Styela clava: one gene and its partner. The protein of the gene in region 1 interacts with the protein of each later gene in a pairwise test. Links are inferred from orthologs where the notes say so. Each region holds a gene or a part of one and is shown on either strand. Other genes may lie near its edges.

Region 1 (7,139 bases):
ACTGGCAAATTAGACTGGCCGCTTTGAGGGGGTCTGCTTGTATGAGAGATCGGCTTATATGCGGGGATATATGGTATTAAAATGGAGACCATCCTGTCTTCTTACACACTTCTGAATTTAAATATTTTCGCCTGATAATTTAAAAAGCATAGTTGTTATTTTCTTGGGTTTGCATCACTTATGATTAGTTGTAAATGTCTGAGCATATATGTTTAAAATATGTCTTTGTCATATTAAAGAAAGTTGCTGTGAAATTTCCATTATTTTCTAGAAAAATGTCATAATTTGGAGTTGTCATTTTAAAATGGAATTTAAATCAAATTCCTTATGCAAGTTTTGTCGGCTATGTGTGCTTTTATTAACTGCATGGCCATTTTTTTTTTTTGAATGCTTGCTTACGATTGCTTTTCACTTATGAAATGATGCTTTTAACACTATCATTGTTTGTACACACATGTGGGTCTTTGTAAAATTTTCTCCCCAGATAGTCTTCCTACTAAATCTGCTCAGCAGTTCAAATCGAAATCAAGTTACTAAGACATTGTATCAAGTAGCATTTTGTTGACTTGAAAATTCATAAACAACTTTTTATGATTACTTTTGAATTATAAACTATCATGAACATCATTTCATTGCTGTTTTGTGTAGCAAATGACAACAATTTAATAATTTTCACCCTATTCTTTTACTTCTAATGCACAATGCTTTGCTTTCAATTTATTTTTTCAATTATTAAATCACTATTCAATTGATTTCATCTGTAATGGTATGTAGTACATCAATCGATTTCATATAAACTTTTTCTATTTCATTCACATTTCTGTAATCTTTTAATTAATAAACACAATTGAACTATTTTATAAAGATAAGATTAAGTTAATTATACGTTAATGTATTCAATTTAACATGCATGTTAATAGGTTACCAAGAGAGAATTATAATACTGCAGGATCCCATACAAATCATGCTATTTCAAATAGGAATTTATATCTTCAAATATCATTTTGGACATTTTTATCAAATTTTTAAAATCAGATTATTGATTCTTGTCATCCGATAAATAAGTATATGTGTGATTAAGGACAGTTGATAGATTCACATTTAAACTGTATATACTTCTATTAACTATTTATTGTTCAAAGTTATTTTCTAATTTTTAAACTTGTGTGTCGCGGGCCAAATCTTTCAAGTTTCTATATGATTTTTGAACTAAAAATGTTACAAGCTCTTTAGAATGAGCTGAAGTGGTGCTGTAATTTAGTTTTTTGCTTTTTTTATTTACTTATATTTGAGCTTTTAGTTATAAATATACAATGGAAGGTAATTTTGTATCTTAAGCTTTAGATTTTGAGGTTTGAAATAGAATAAACCCCTGCTTGGCTGGCAAGCGCCTAAACTTGAAAAAAAAATAAGGTCACAAACCATTGAAACTCCAAATTCAATGTTTAAAAGTTTAAGCCATCTTTTTGAAAAACTTCTTGTTGAATTAGTCCTAAAAAATGCTTTCTATATTTTAGTGGATAGTGCTTTTTACTTTTTAGTTGTTCCTTTTATAGTAGAAGTGCTTTTTCTCCTTCGTCATGATATCATTTTGGTACGTCATCATCTGGTATCTGGTGTGAAATAAAAGGTTTTGCTAGATACCTATGTGCGTGTTTTTGTACATTTTTGAGTTATTTGTTATCCTAGATTTGTTAAAAAATGTCCCATACATTCCCCGACAAGATTTCAATGCACTAAAAAGGTAAGGTTCGTCTTTTTGATTAGATCCCTGGGTCTCGCTGCTCGATAACCAGCTTTGGTTTCTCGCGGCTTCTCTCCTAGTATTTTGTGTAAAACTTAACTTTCTTACTGGTTGTAAAAAATGAACTTGACTTGACTGTGGAAGAACCATTTACGACGTCGGAATTTGCTAAACATGTAAGAAATGTCCTCATTGTTCGAGTTTTTTTACATGCTGGTTTCGAACTTGAGATGTTTTCAAGTACAACAACCATCAACGTGTTTTATTATAAACCTGTATTCGGCTGCATTGTAATCCGCTATTACATGAGAATAATGCTCTTGAATTAGGTGCATGTCTGGTGAGTCAATACCAGATTGTAATAATAACCAAGTATTATCAACGATAAATTTTTTTTTACCTGTGCTGAAAATTAAAAAAAAAAAAACATAAGTAATGAAATGAATATAACCAGTGGTGGGATTTAGCCGGTTCGCACGGGTTCTATAGAACCGTCTCACGGAATTTTATGAGATCAGCGAACCGGCTAGCATTACTGGTTACTGTCAATGTTCTGTTTGTGTCAGAACCGGCTGAAAAATATGACTTTTGTGAAGGAACCGGCTGACAAAAAAATTTGAATCCCACCACTGATTATAACCCTCGTGATGTTCTGCGTCTCCTACTAATATGCACGGTGATACTGTTAAGTTTATCAAGTCTCCTTGTGGTTTTTTTCAACGTCCGGATTCCGATTTGTTTGCTGCCTAATGTACACGGGTTTAAAAATGTATTTATTCGTATCGTACAAATGAACAGTTCAAAGTTGTATCCAAGTAATACTGTGCTCGAGTCGATTTCTTATTGATAACTTTATCCCCATTTCGTTTTTCTTTGTCTGAATTGATGGTCATTTTATAAAAAAAAAATACGGTTCTTCTCAGCTTAGTCTTCAGCCTACCCACTTTCTGTTGTTGCCTGATTTTGACTCCCAGCAACAAACAGAAAGAAATCAGAATTCACAAGCACATAATCGATGAATCGTTACCAAATTTTGTGCGTTTATTGTTTTATGTATGTGTTTTTCGGCCGAATCAAAACAAACTTAGCCTACTTAATACTAACTTGCTCGTCATAATTCTACAATATCTTATGTATATCGCTTTTCCTCCCTGTTTAAGTTGAATACTTATTAAGCGCGACAGGAAATCTTAATTGTTCTGTCAAAACAATATGTTTTGTCCTCGGTCTATGAGCCTGTGACTCGGATGACTCACAACAGCTAATAGTTAGAGAGAGGGAGAAAATATGCAACTCAATTCGGTATAGACTGGAGGGAGCGATACGACCAGGTCATCAAAGTCAGCTCCCCCAAAAATCAACAATGAGATTCACAGTTAATGTATATAAACCATGCATCATCTGATCCGTTTGACACACAAAATATTTAGTTTCAATATATACGTTGACAATAAGACACAAATTCAAAGATTCTGGGCGTTGATTCTTGAGAAAGAATAGTATATATATACAATATACGCGAATTGTTGAATTCGGGCGTTGAAGCTTGAAAAATAAAATACAAGTGCGTGACCTCAGGCTTTAAACTTGAAGAGTTGAAGTTGAGTTCTGGTCCAGATGCCTATCTTTGTGTCAAAATTCTGTTAATTGACTAATGAACTATCGCCGAACGCCTAAATAGCTCAGTAGTAGGAAAGCTTTAGTTTGCTTTCAACTTGCCTGACAACACCGAGTTTCTGAAAAGATCAGCGGACAAGCAAAACGCAACAAAATCTAAATAAAATAAATATTATGGATAAGAATGAGAAATGGGAATTCTAACAACAAATCGATACATGCGTATGTACAATTCGTGTCCAATAAATTTAAATTAAATAATTAATAACACTAACTTGAAATTGAAATCAAAAAAGCATGATAATCTTCTAGCGACTTTTGGTAAGTATAACAACAACAACAATCATCCCACCTTCAGCATCAACAAAAACATTTAGTGTCCAATAATGATATATAGGTGCAGCGTTGTTATTGGGTCACTCGACAAATAACAAAAACTGTAAATGAAAGTAATTTTTCCACGTTTTTTTCTTTTTGAGTGCCAGTCGTCATGGAATGTTATACAGAAATTGCGCATTTTCGGGAAAATACTACACCGAATTTTAATATGATAATATTTACGATGATGTATATGTGTACAACAATAAAAACTGTTTGAGCGCGTTTGTGATAAGAGTCAAATTGAAAGCAATGATATTCACCAATTGACGCGATATATCGTTTCAAGAACTCAACTCTCGCCTTCAAATTTAAAAAACAGCTGATGCTATGCATGATCAATCAAGCGTTATGTTATGTTTGGTATAAAAACGAAAAATTTCATCGATCGTCCCCATTTGCCTGTAACCGTCTGTGCGTTCGTGTGAGGTTCTGGAGGACTCTCTCGATGTATGTGTAATAAGTTAATACAGAAAGTAAACAAAAATGGTGTCTGGGACAGAAAAAGCAGATGCTGTTGAAAGAGATGAAGTGCACGGGGCAACAAATGGTTTTGCCTCCGCAACAGATGGATTGTGCAAAACGAATGACTCGTTGTGCAATGGCGTTTCTCCTTTCGTTTCTCTAAAAAACAAAATAAACAATCGTGTGCAATCAAAAGATCCATGGTTTTCACTGGAATTTTTTCCTCCACGAACAGAAAAGGGGGCTGCAAATCTTATTGGAAGGTATGCAATTAGGTTTAAGAATACTTATAAAATAAGTTTAGTTAACTCAAAGTGGTCAATATGGTTAGATATCTCATGCCCAAACTGTACAAATAAACGTATAAAAAACCGCAGGTTGCAACATGTTTAGCTATTCATAACTTATAAGTTATTCTAACTTTAGTATATTTTAAAATTAACCACTAGTATGAATTATTAAGAAATGACTGGTCTAGTGTTTTAGTATTTTTCACTTTCTCAAGGTAATTGAGAATGAATTTTACCAAAGTTGGGAATAATTTAGGAATCAAAGTAAAAAGTAGCTTAAGTAGTATAATGGAAATTGAGCTGCAAAACATATCTTTTTTTGCTTCAATTGCCAGTATATGAATGAATTTTTTTGCAAACATGAAATTGTGTCATCTTTTCATCAGGTTGGATCGTATGAGGGACGGAAATCCTTTATTTATTGACATAACTTGGCATCCTGCTGGCGACCCCGGTGGTGATAAAATAACATCCTCAACCAAAATTGCAGGGACAATTCTAAATTATTGTGGCATTGATACAATGCTACATATGACATGTTGCAATCAAACTAGAGAAACAATCATGAAAAATCTAGAAAAAACTAAATCATTGGGAATCAGAAGCATACTAGCCTTGAGAGGAGGTAGGAAAGAATATCACTTTTTATTATTGAAAACTCTATATTGAAACTAAACATTAAACTAAATATTTAAAAAAGTACACTAATTAATTAATTAAATATTTAATTGTTACTATTTCAGATTTCTATTTCAACAAATATAGGGTTCTCTGTTCTGTTTGATTGTGAAGTGTTCCATTGTAATATTGGCGCCTTTTCACTTGCTTTATTGATATCTTCATATATTGGAGTCATATTGGTATCGTGAATAAAAAATGGCATATATGATAGTATTTGTAAAGATACTTCTGAATTTTGTTCAAGTTGATGGGGTGTACTCATAAACAAAAGAATTTTTTTTAAATAATTTGATTTTAGATCCAACAGGCGACGAATGGGAAATGAATGAAAATGGGTTGAATTATAGTTCTGATTTAGTGGAACTTATCCGTCAAGAATATGAAGATTATTTCAGCATCTGTGTTGCAGGTAAGCGAAAATTGGAATTGAAAAATAAGTTCGCAGAACGTATTATATAGATTTTACCAAAGAGTTTATCTTCCGTAAGAGTTAATAGGTATATGAACTTACATGAAAATTTCCTAATATTACACTTTTTTTAATAGTTTATTGCATTATTAGTACTAAACCTATTTTACAGACAATAAACTTTTTTATTGATAATGATAAGCAAACTAGTGTATATTATTTATTTTGTTGAACGAAAGCACCAAAGGAAACTTGAACTTTTAACCCTTTGATGTTGTATTTTGAGAATAACATTGATCATTTTATTATATAATAACATTTTGTACATAATTGTGAAATAAAGTACGAAATATTGATTTTGGCTCAGAAGTAAACTTGTCTTGTGGCTTCCATTATCAAACAAGTATATTTGTCATTCAGGTTATCCTAAAGGTCATCCGGATTGTTCATCATATAAAGACGATTTAGTCAATCTCAAGAAAAAAGTAGATGCTGGTGCAGATTTTATTATAACTCAGTTATTTTTCCAAGCTGAGGAATTCTTAAAATTTCAGTCAGATTGCAGAAAAATTGGAATTCAATGTCCTATTATCCCTGGAATTTTTCCGATTCAGGTACCGCTAATTACGTTAAAGTTGAGTAGCATAGTTTACTCAGCACACACAGTGTGTTTGTTGAAAGATAAACAAATATTTGATATTATGCAACTTTGTTGTTTAACCACACAATTCTCCATGAATTTGAATGACATCATTTTTGTCAAGTATAATTCCTTTTTTGATTATAATATTTATCGATTATGTTTTTATTAAATATGTAGGTATATATGTAAATTTAAATAATGCTAGTCATGAAATATCTAATTTTTCCAAAACGAAATTTAAAAATTGGGAGTTTCTTTGTTTGTTTCTAGTTCAAACTTTTTTCAATTGTTTATTTGTAATTGAGTTTTGGATGACACTTGTCCAGATTATAATTGAACAACTAATCTATCAAAAAGCTAAAAAATCACTCCTATTTATGTTTCGCTGATTGATTAATTTTTGTCTGTTGGATATTGTTTTGGAACTTTAATTGATAAGGGAATGCACAACAGAAAGAGTTGCATCATTTTTTCACTAATTACACGTCATATAATGATTTCCGTGAATATGGTAATTTTGCTAAATTGCAAATCCAGCTGGTGATGCCATTATTGACAGGTTTAAAGACATTTAATTTAAATAAAGTGAATAATTTCAAAATGTGTATTATGTAAAGTAATTTTGAAAGGAATATTTTTTATGAAAACACATTATCAATTCACTTAGAAAAGTACTGGAAACAAATGTTAATCTTATCTTGGAATTTGTCGCCTCAGTAAAATGTACTTCTTAGTGCAAATGAATATGATTCATTTGCACTATCTGGCACAATATTTAACACTTTATGTATCGTTTTTGTTGTGCATCAGACGAACAGATCTCTTGTTCAACTGACAAAATTATCGAAACTTGAAGTCCCTGAGGATGTGCAGAAAATTATTGAACCAATAAAAGATAATGATGCAGCTATT
Region 2 (7,332 bases), on another chromosome or scaffold:
ACTTGAATCCCATTACCTTTAGTGCAACAATTACTGCATGTGTTTTTGACTTCAATCCCACCGTAGCAGATCCCTGTTTCACAGCTTCCATTGCATACTCAATCTGGTGTATACGTCCCTGTGGGCTCCAAACTGTCACATCATTGTCATATTGATTTCGAAACTAAAACAAAAAGATTTTGCATTGCGAGTTTGCAGTGTTTATGAAACAAAATAATAATATAGGTATAATATGTTATCACCGATAAGCAGGTATACGATACAACTGTAGTCTACAATGTAATGATGAATTTGGAAACTTGATGCTCATACGGCTGTACGAGAACATGTCAGCTTAAAATGCATGTGTGACTGGCATCAAAATGGCTTATTACTGTACAAGGCAATTTTTTATTCATTTTTAATAAAACATCAATATCAAACTACAAAGTCCGTAACTTATTTCATGAAAATTTTTATCGATATTATGAAGACTCCCTCAAAAATATCTTTATCACAGGTACATACCGTAAACGCAGGTAACTTCGGATGGTTTATAACTTCGGATGAAATTTTCAATCGTTTATATCTCGACTAAATTACGTCATATTCTGCTTCTGGCAGTTTCTATAGAGAGTCCTTATATATCTTAATCTCTTATCATATTCAGTCGCCTAATAGGATTTATTTTTTGACACAAAAAATCACCTTTTTGCCAAAAATTGACACCTCGCTTTTGAGCGGCTAAAATAGCGACTTCTATCGACGCTAACTTCACTAAAAGACCGTCAATCGCTAGAGGGCATACACAATGTACAAGGAAAATTACAGTGATCACGAGATGTCGTACGAGATTTAAGTAAAATATATTATTTTGATTTAAAAATTTCGTCAAAATATCGACGTTACGGTGCTTACGCTGAACGTGACGTCAACAACGTGATTCAATTTCGCTCCATTTAAGGCCGACGTCACATTGCGTAGCTCGTGCGTAACTCGCTGCGACATTTGAACGCCAGACTATGTGGCGCCACGTGTAGTTAAATATAAAGTGAAAACTCCTACCTGATCCTCGTCACCAAATCCTACAAAAACTTAATTATAGCCCCGGTCATATGCTGTTTATTTATTGTGAATCCGATTAATGCACATTAAATTTGTGTGTTAACATTTCGGCATTCTTCGACCGTGTAGATGTTGTTGATACGTAAGGCTGATGAACAGCCAGATACGCGTATCTATACTATCACAATGACAAGGTTTTACGATCGGCGATGATAATATATTAAGAGTAGAATGTTGCACAGGTGAGCATGAAACTCTGCACAGGTGCACACAGCAGGAGATTGGAGGTTTTTGGCGTTTTTATCCGTTTCATGTCTATCTGCCTGTGAATACATTATATCTGAATTATCAACACGGCCACAAGCTACACTGTTCCATATTGTTGTCCACTTCCATTTTTTTTACTTTTACTACCTACCGTAATTCATCATCCATTTTTCTATTTTATTATTTTCATTCGTTTCATTTTTGTTTTGTATTAAAAATTGTTTTCCATTTTTACTTTTACGACTTATTTTATTCGTCCGTTTTTTATTTTCATTTGTCCCATGTTGTCTCATTTTTGTTTCGTATTGAAACGATCATAATAGCAAGATATAGCACTTTCATGAAATTAAGAATAGTCAAGAGATAAATGGTTTAGTTTTGCGAAACGTCAGGAATAGGGCTGGGCAAAATTATTACATGCGTTGTATTTTGAAGCATTTAGCGGTAATAATTATGGCGCGACACTGTCAAAATCGTCGAGTAAAGTGCTGAGTTCGCAAATTCCGCAGATAAAATTGTGAATTAGTCGGTAACGGTTTTAGCTATAATAACCGTTGGGGTATTGTTTTGTTCAAAAAAAAAGTTAAAACTTGAGGGAAATAGTTATAATTAGTGTCCGACCCGCTATCAGGACCAAAAGCCTTATGCCAAGTATAAATGCATAACGGCCGATTTATTCAATCATTATTATAAATAAAAATTCAGTATTCGCACAATCGCGGGTGCAAAGCATAACAACATCAATCATCGTCTTAATAAATATCTCCATCTCGGCGACGATAATAATATCACCGTTCGCTTTAAACTCGAACGATTAATAGTATACAAACGGTGATAAGTAAGATCAAAGCCAACACGTAAGATTAAATCAGAACAAAATTAATTTGGGTTTTGAAATCAGTCCTTCTTGTCTTCAAGAGCTGTTGCCGATGTAAACACACGGGTACACCAGATATATAAAACTTTGATGTCCGCCGACCCGGAAGAATTAATAATAACAAAAACGGCCGTCATAGATGAACGTCAGTGTGCACCACGCAAAACGAATCACGGCGTCGTAAGTTCTACGCAGCGACGTTATCACGCGTCACTGATCACGCAGACATTTCTCTCTCACGACGAAGTGACGCAAAGCGAAAAGTGGCCATCCGAAGTTATAAACATTTGGAATACAGATCGGCAGGCAAATAAAGTCAATAATTTGAATGAAAAAAAGTATTGATTGATATGAAACCGAGTTTATCGCGAGGAGAAAGGCTTCAATGTATTATATTCCAAGTTTGGCTTCAATTGAACAATAAACGGCGGAGAAATTGTTCATAATATAGTGAAATCATCCGAAGTTACCTGCTTTTACGGTAATTAATCAAATATTTTGGTTAAAATGATTCAGTCAATTCAATTATTTGGAAAAGATTTGACACATAAATATAAATAGAGCATAGTTTCCAACTGCATTTACAGATGTCTGGATGTATTGCTATCAAAATGGCACTCGTGTTGTTACTACATAAATAGATCTTTAACTAATCTTAACAACTTACCATCTTTAGCAAATTTAAACAATTACTGGATTAACAGAACTAATCTAGCAGCATAAATCAATAAACGAAAACTAAGCAATATAGTAGCTACCGCTGATCTGGAACTCGTCGCATGAATGATGATTCATGAAATCTTGTATTGCTCAGCAGTTTTGCTCTCGGTGAACCGTAACGAAAATTTTGCAAAACCAGTTTCCAAAGATAATTAACAATAGTTTTATATGTATATATATATTTTTAGAAGACATTCAAAATTTATTAAAGTATTAATAACATAAATATAAAAAAAAAACAATATTCGTGAAACACGATGCGGAAGTAAAGTTTCTCATATTTCACTTCGTGTTCAGTCAGCGTTCGTCAGTGTTCGTCAAGAGGTTACGGGCAAAGTGACTTTGGTTACGGGTATCTTCCAAACAACGCTGCATCAGTGTGTGTAGTTTTGCAGTACGGTAGGTTGGGAAATATGAATACACTCACCGTCGACGTGTTATTAAAAGCCTATGGAGAACTTGTGGAACAACGACCTTTACTAACTCAAACAGGCACAGCAGGTAAACGTTTCCTTTTTTCAGTCTTTATATTGAAATAATGCTGAAAATAGAATAGACAGTTCAATTTACCGGTATTGGTTTATGAATGAAAAGTTCCCATCCAGCCATCCATTTCAACTTGTTCTCAGATGTGCATGATCCATATCTGCATAGTATTGCACCGCTGTATCCAGGTATCTGTGTATTGTCTGAATGAATTGAGATGTCATATTTTCATTATTGCATATTACTCATTTGATCTACTGATATTTTCTCTTTTGTTATTGGATATTCATTGTTGATCTTTTAAACACCTTGTTTCTTCTCATAACTTCAGTTGTGCCAGTGATGGAATTGCACTCAGCATGCAGGCATGAGAGTTGTATTTTTAAAGCTGCTTTACTTATCATATATAAGGTATCCTCACAACATTTGCTGATGTCATCTCACAAAAACTAGTTGAGCAAAAAAAAGGTTGTGACCTTCGACGAACAACCATCATGGCAGCATGTGCTTTAATGTATCTTGTAAGATTATTGTTATGTATTATTCAAAGTCGATTAACTTCATTATATGTCAAATTTCAATTTTTAAATCGTGCACATCTTAGTTTGCAAATTGAACTGAATCATGAGAATATTCATAATTAGTCATATTATATATTTAATATAAGTCACAGATATTTATGCTATTTCTTTATTGATTTAATTAAAATTTCTTCAGGGTCCTTTAGTTTCAATGTGGTATGTGTTTCTGAGTATGCGTGGATATTCAACAGGAGTCAATGTCTTTTTGGATCAGGTATACACTTTATATTATTATACATATGATATTTGAGTTCATAAATTAAACTGTTTTATCTTATTTTAGTTCATTATGTCTCCACCCCTCCTCTTCGGATTCCTTGTTTTGCAAACCATATTATTTGGTCAAGGAACGAAGGCTATGAAACATCGTATCAGACATGATTTACCTGATGTTTTGAAGATTAATTGGCTGGTAAATATACAATATCCATAGCTCATGAATTGTTTTTGTTTTGTGTAAATAAAAGGTTATATTTTTAAGATATGGATCCCAGCTCAAATAGTGAATTTTCAATTTGTTCCTTTCCAATACAGGTAAGATTTCATTTACTATTTTTATTACATGACTTGTTTTCATTTTTCAACTTACCAATTTTGTGTCCTATTCGCAGGATGTTGTATTCACAAAGTATTGCACTTTTTTGGAATTGTTACTTGTCATATAGGACTAACAACAAAACACGAATTCAACCTATGGAGAGCGTCATGTAGGCGAGACAAGGTTGAAGGGGGTGGATATTGTTATAATGTGGATGGAGGATTAAAAAATACATTGCTCCTGACTCAAATGTATTAAAAGGGGAAAAAATATTCGGAATAATAGAATTGTATTCATGGCAGAAGCAGATATTCCTATGAAGCAGTATTAAACCTCAGTCTAACACTTCTATAGTGCCAGTGTCATTGCTTAGTGTAATATGCTATATAGAACTAATATTGCAAGTGTATTTGGAGTATTCTGGTATGGTACCAGACATTTCTATGTTATTTTGGTGGGGTTGTGATTTTTATCTTTTAAACATTGCAGTGTAGATTTTCTTCAATTGTTATTGTAAGCAACTAAGTGCAATACTGCCTCGCAGATCTTTAAATTGTCTGATAACTTTTTTATGTAGCCTCTGATAACTTGTTTATGTAGCACACCTAAGTTTATTCTTCAACAAATCATTTTATGTTTAAATTTCATAAGGAAGCGTTTTATTTTATCGTTTAACTGCCAATTATTATTTTTTGCTTTCGTTGTAATATACATTGGTAAATTTCCATAAATTAATGTGATGGCCATACAAACCAGTGTTGCGTATCTAAAACAATTGACTCGTCTCAACAGAAACACTATTTGCTGTGTTGTAGATGTTACATTGGAAATATCTTATTAAAGTACCAAATTCGAAATAGTTATTTTTAGCACCGAATACCGATATAAAAGTTGTCAATACATGATTTGTTAATACATGATTAAGTTGGTTTAATGGAAGTTACAAATCTTAGTGTCAATATTACTCATATTTATCCATTCCAGTTTTGTTTTGAAATCCACTATGACTGACCACATTTTTGAAATTTTCTGCAACTCTGGAATTTGAATCAAGGCTCTGTGATGACCTGTGACTCGAGCTTCAGAGACTATTTTCTCCCAAATGCTTGTGCTTGCAGTATTTTATGTTCACACATTTGTACGAAACTATAAAATGCATATATTCCCGCCCCTTCGTTGGAAGGGGGCTAATCACAGAACTGAATAGGTCATGATTTTTTAGAATCTTTACAAAATAAGTAAACTGATGGCTTTTCAAAATAAATGTTTAGGATAAAGTGTTGCTTTCTGCAGCCCGTCCTACATTTACCCCATCTATTGATGTGTTTAATTTACCATGATTCTATAGAGATTAATTTGTCTGAATTGCTGATTTATAGTATGTCACAGGTGTCTAATTTACCATGATTCTATCGAGATTAATTTGTCTGAATTGCTGATTTATATTATGTTTTCATTAATCTTTCATGCAGTTGGTTTCCAGCATTGGTGTTCTAAGGCTTATTACAAAATTTTCAAATAAATATGCTTTGACATGCAAGACCACAATCCAAAAAATCGTGGCAAATATCAGTTCTTTCTTTAATCAATACACTCTGATACCCGTTCTGGCCTTTGTCTTTTTTATTTTGAATATATGTTTGTGTGTTGAACGTGGGCAAACTGGCGCATGTATTAAACCTTTATAAAGGTTTTGCCAGTTTTCCCAATCTTCTGTGTGTTCATTGCTTGTGTTTTTTGTATGATTCTTTTGCGGGAAAATCAAAATATACTTATACTTATTATACTCTGTCAACAATTTTGCACTAGTGGTGACCCTTTTGTGTGAGAAAAGCATGAAAATAGATACTTTTGGCTGCTAGCAATCTTGAATCGCATCTTGGGTTAATGAGACTGAGTCTACTCTTCAAAAGTAAGAAACTAAAGGAATAGTAAAAATATATCTGTCGTGGGAGAATATAACCTCGAACGTCGTTATAAGAGCTTCATTAGCGAAGTGTAACAACATCGCAAGACAGCAACGTGAAGATAAAATTAAACGGTTTGTCATTATCTTTGAACCCACGTACAATCGCACCTGCATACTTTTGCACCCATGAACAATTGGAAAGGATTATAACTCGCAATGACAATAAAAACGTAGCGACTCTCACTAAGAATAAGGGCTACTTAAAATTTGTAATCCGTCTTCTTTTCAAATATATTTATATTTGGCAATTAAAGTTTGTCTAATCGCGAACATGACTGTTATGAGGCGCATGCATATGCGTGAGAATGCCATGGGTACAAGAATTCGTGGATGCATATGTGCATGGGTGCAAATGAACATAGGTGAAAATGTACGTGGGTGCAAATATACGCGGGTGCAAATGTCCGCGGTTGCAAATATCCAGTGTGCAAATGTTCATGGGTGCAAATGTTCGTGGGTGCAAAAGTTCATGGATGCAAATGTACCTGGGTGGAAATGTTCGTGGGTGCAAATGTACGTGGGTGCAAATACACATGGGTTCAAATGTTCGCGGGTGCAATCCACATGTGGGTGCTACGATCTATGGATGGAAATGTTTGGGTGCAAATGTCGGTGGTGCAAAAGTATGCAGGTGCGAATGTCCTAGGTGCAGTTTACGGGTGCAAATGTACGTACGTTCAAATGTGCTGTCATCAAATTAAATATTAGTAAGTCGGTACGTAGGCAAACCACTATCATAAAACACAGTGGCGGCGCGTCAATAGGGCCAACCGGGGCAATGCCCCAGTTATTTTTTCGGTATAATAAAAAAATTTTCGAAAAATACTCCAATATCGGTTGCACAGACTGT

Evidence for each region.
Region 2: the proteins of methylenetetrahydrofolate reductase (NADPH)-like (region 1) and proteasome subunit alpha type-1-like interact in a two-hybrid assay, tested with the Caenorhabditis elegans proteins (3 studies listed by BioGRID). The link is inferred for Styela clava from reciprocal best matches to the Caenorhabditis elegans genes mthf-1 and pas-6.

The regions. Positions count from the first base shown.
Region 1 is NC_135253.1:4,400,241-4,407,379, forward strand, and holds the start of methylenetetrahydrofolate reductase (NADPH)-like, read left to right. Parts: upstream 1-4,120; 5' UTR 4,121-4,225; coding exon 4,226-4,467; intron 4,468-4,880; coding exon 4,881-5,119; intron 5,120-5,473; coding exon 5,474-5,584; intron 5,585-6,004; coding exon 6,005-6,198; intron 6,199-7,037; coding exon 7,038-7,139.
Region 2 is NC_135255.1:11,108,213-11,115,544, reverse strand, and holds the start of proteasome subunit alpha type-1-like, read right to left. Parts: upstream 3,015-7,332; 5' UTR 2,859-3,014; coding exon 2,856-2,858; intron 164-2,855; coding exon 17-163; intron 1-16. Other genes in the region: mitochondrial inner membrane protein Mpv17-like, read left to right, coding at 3,322-3,409, 3,806-3,915, 4,112-4,189, 4,259-4,387, 4,457-4,509, 4,587-4,686. UniProt on the Caenorhabditis elegans protein: The proteasome is a multicatalytic proteinase complex which is characterized by its ability to cleave peptides with Arg, Phe, Tyr, Leu, and Glu adjacent to the leaving group at neutral or slightly basic pH.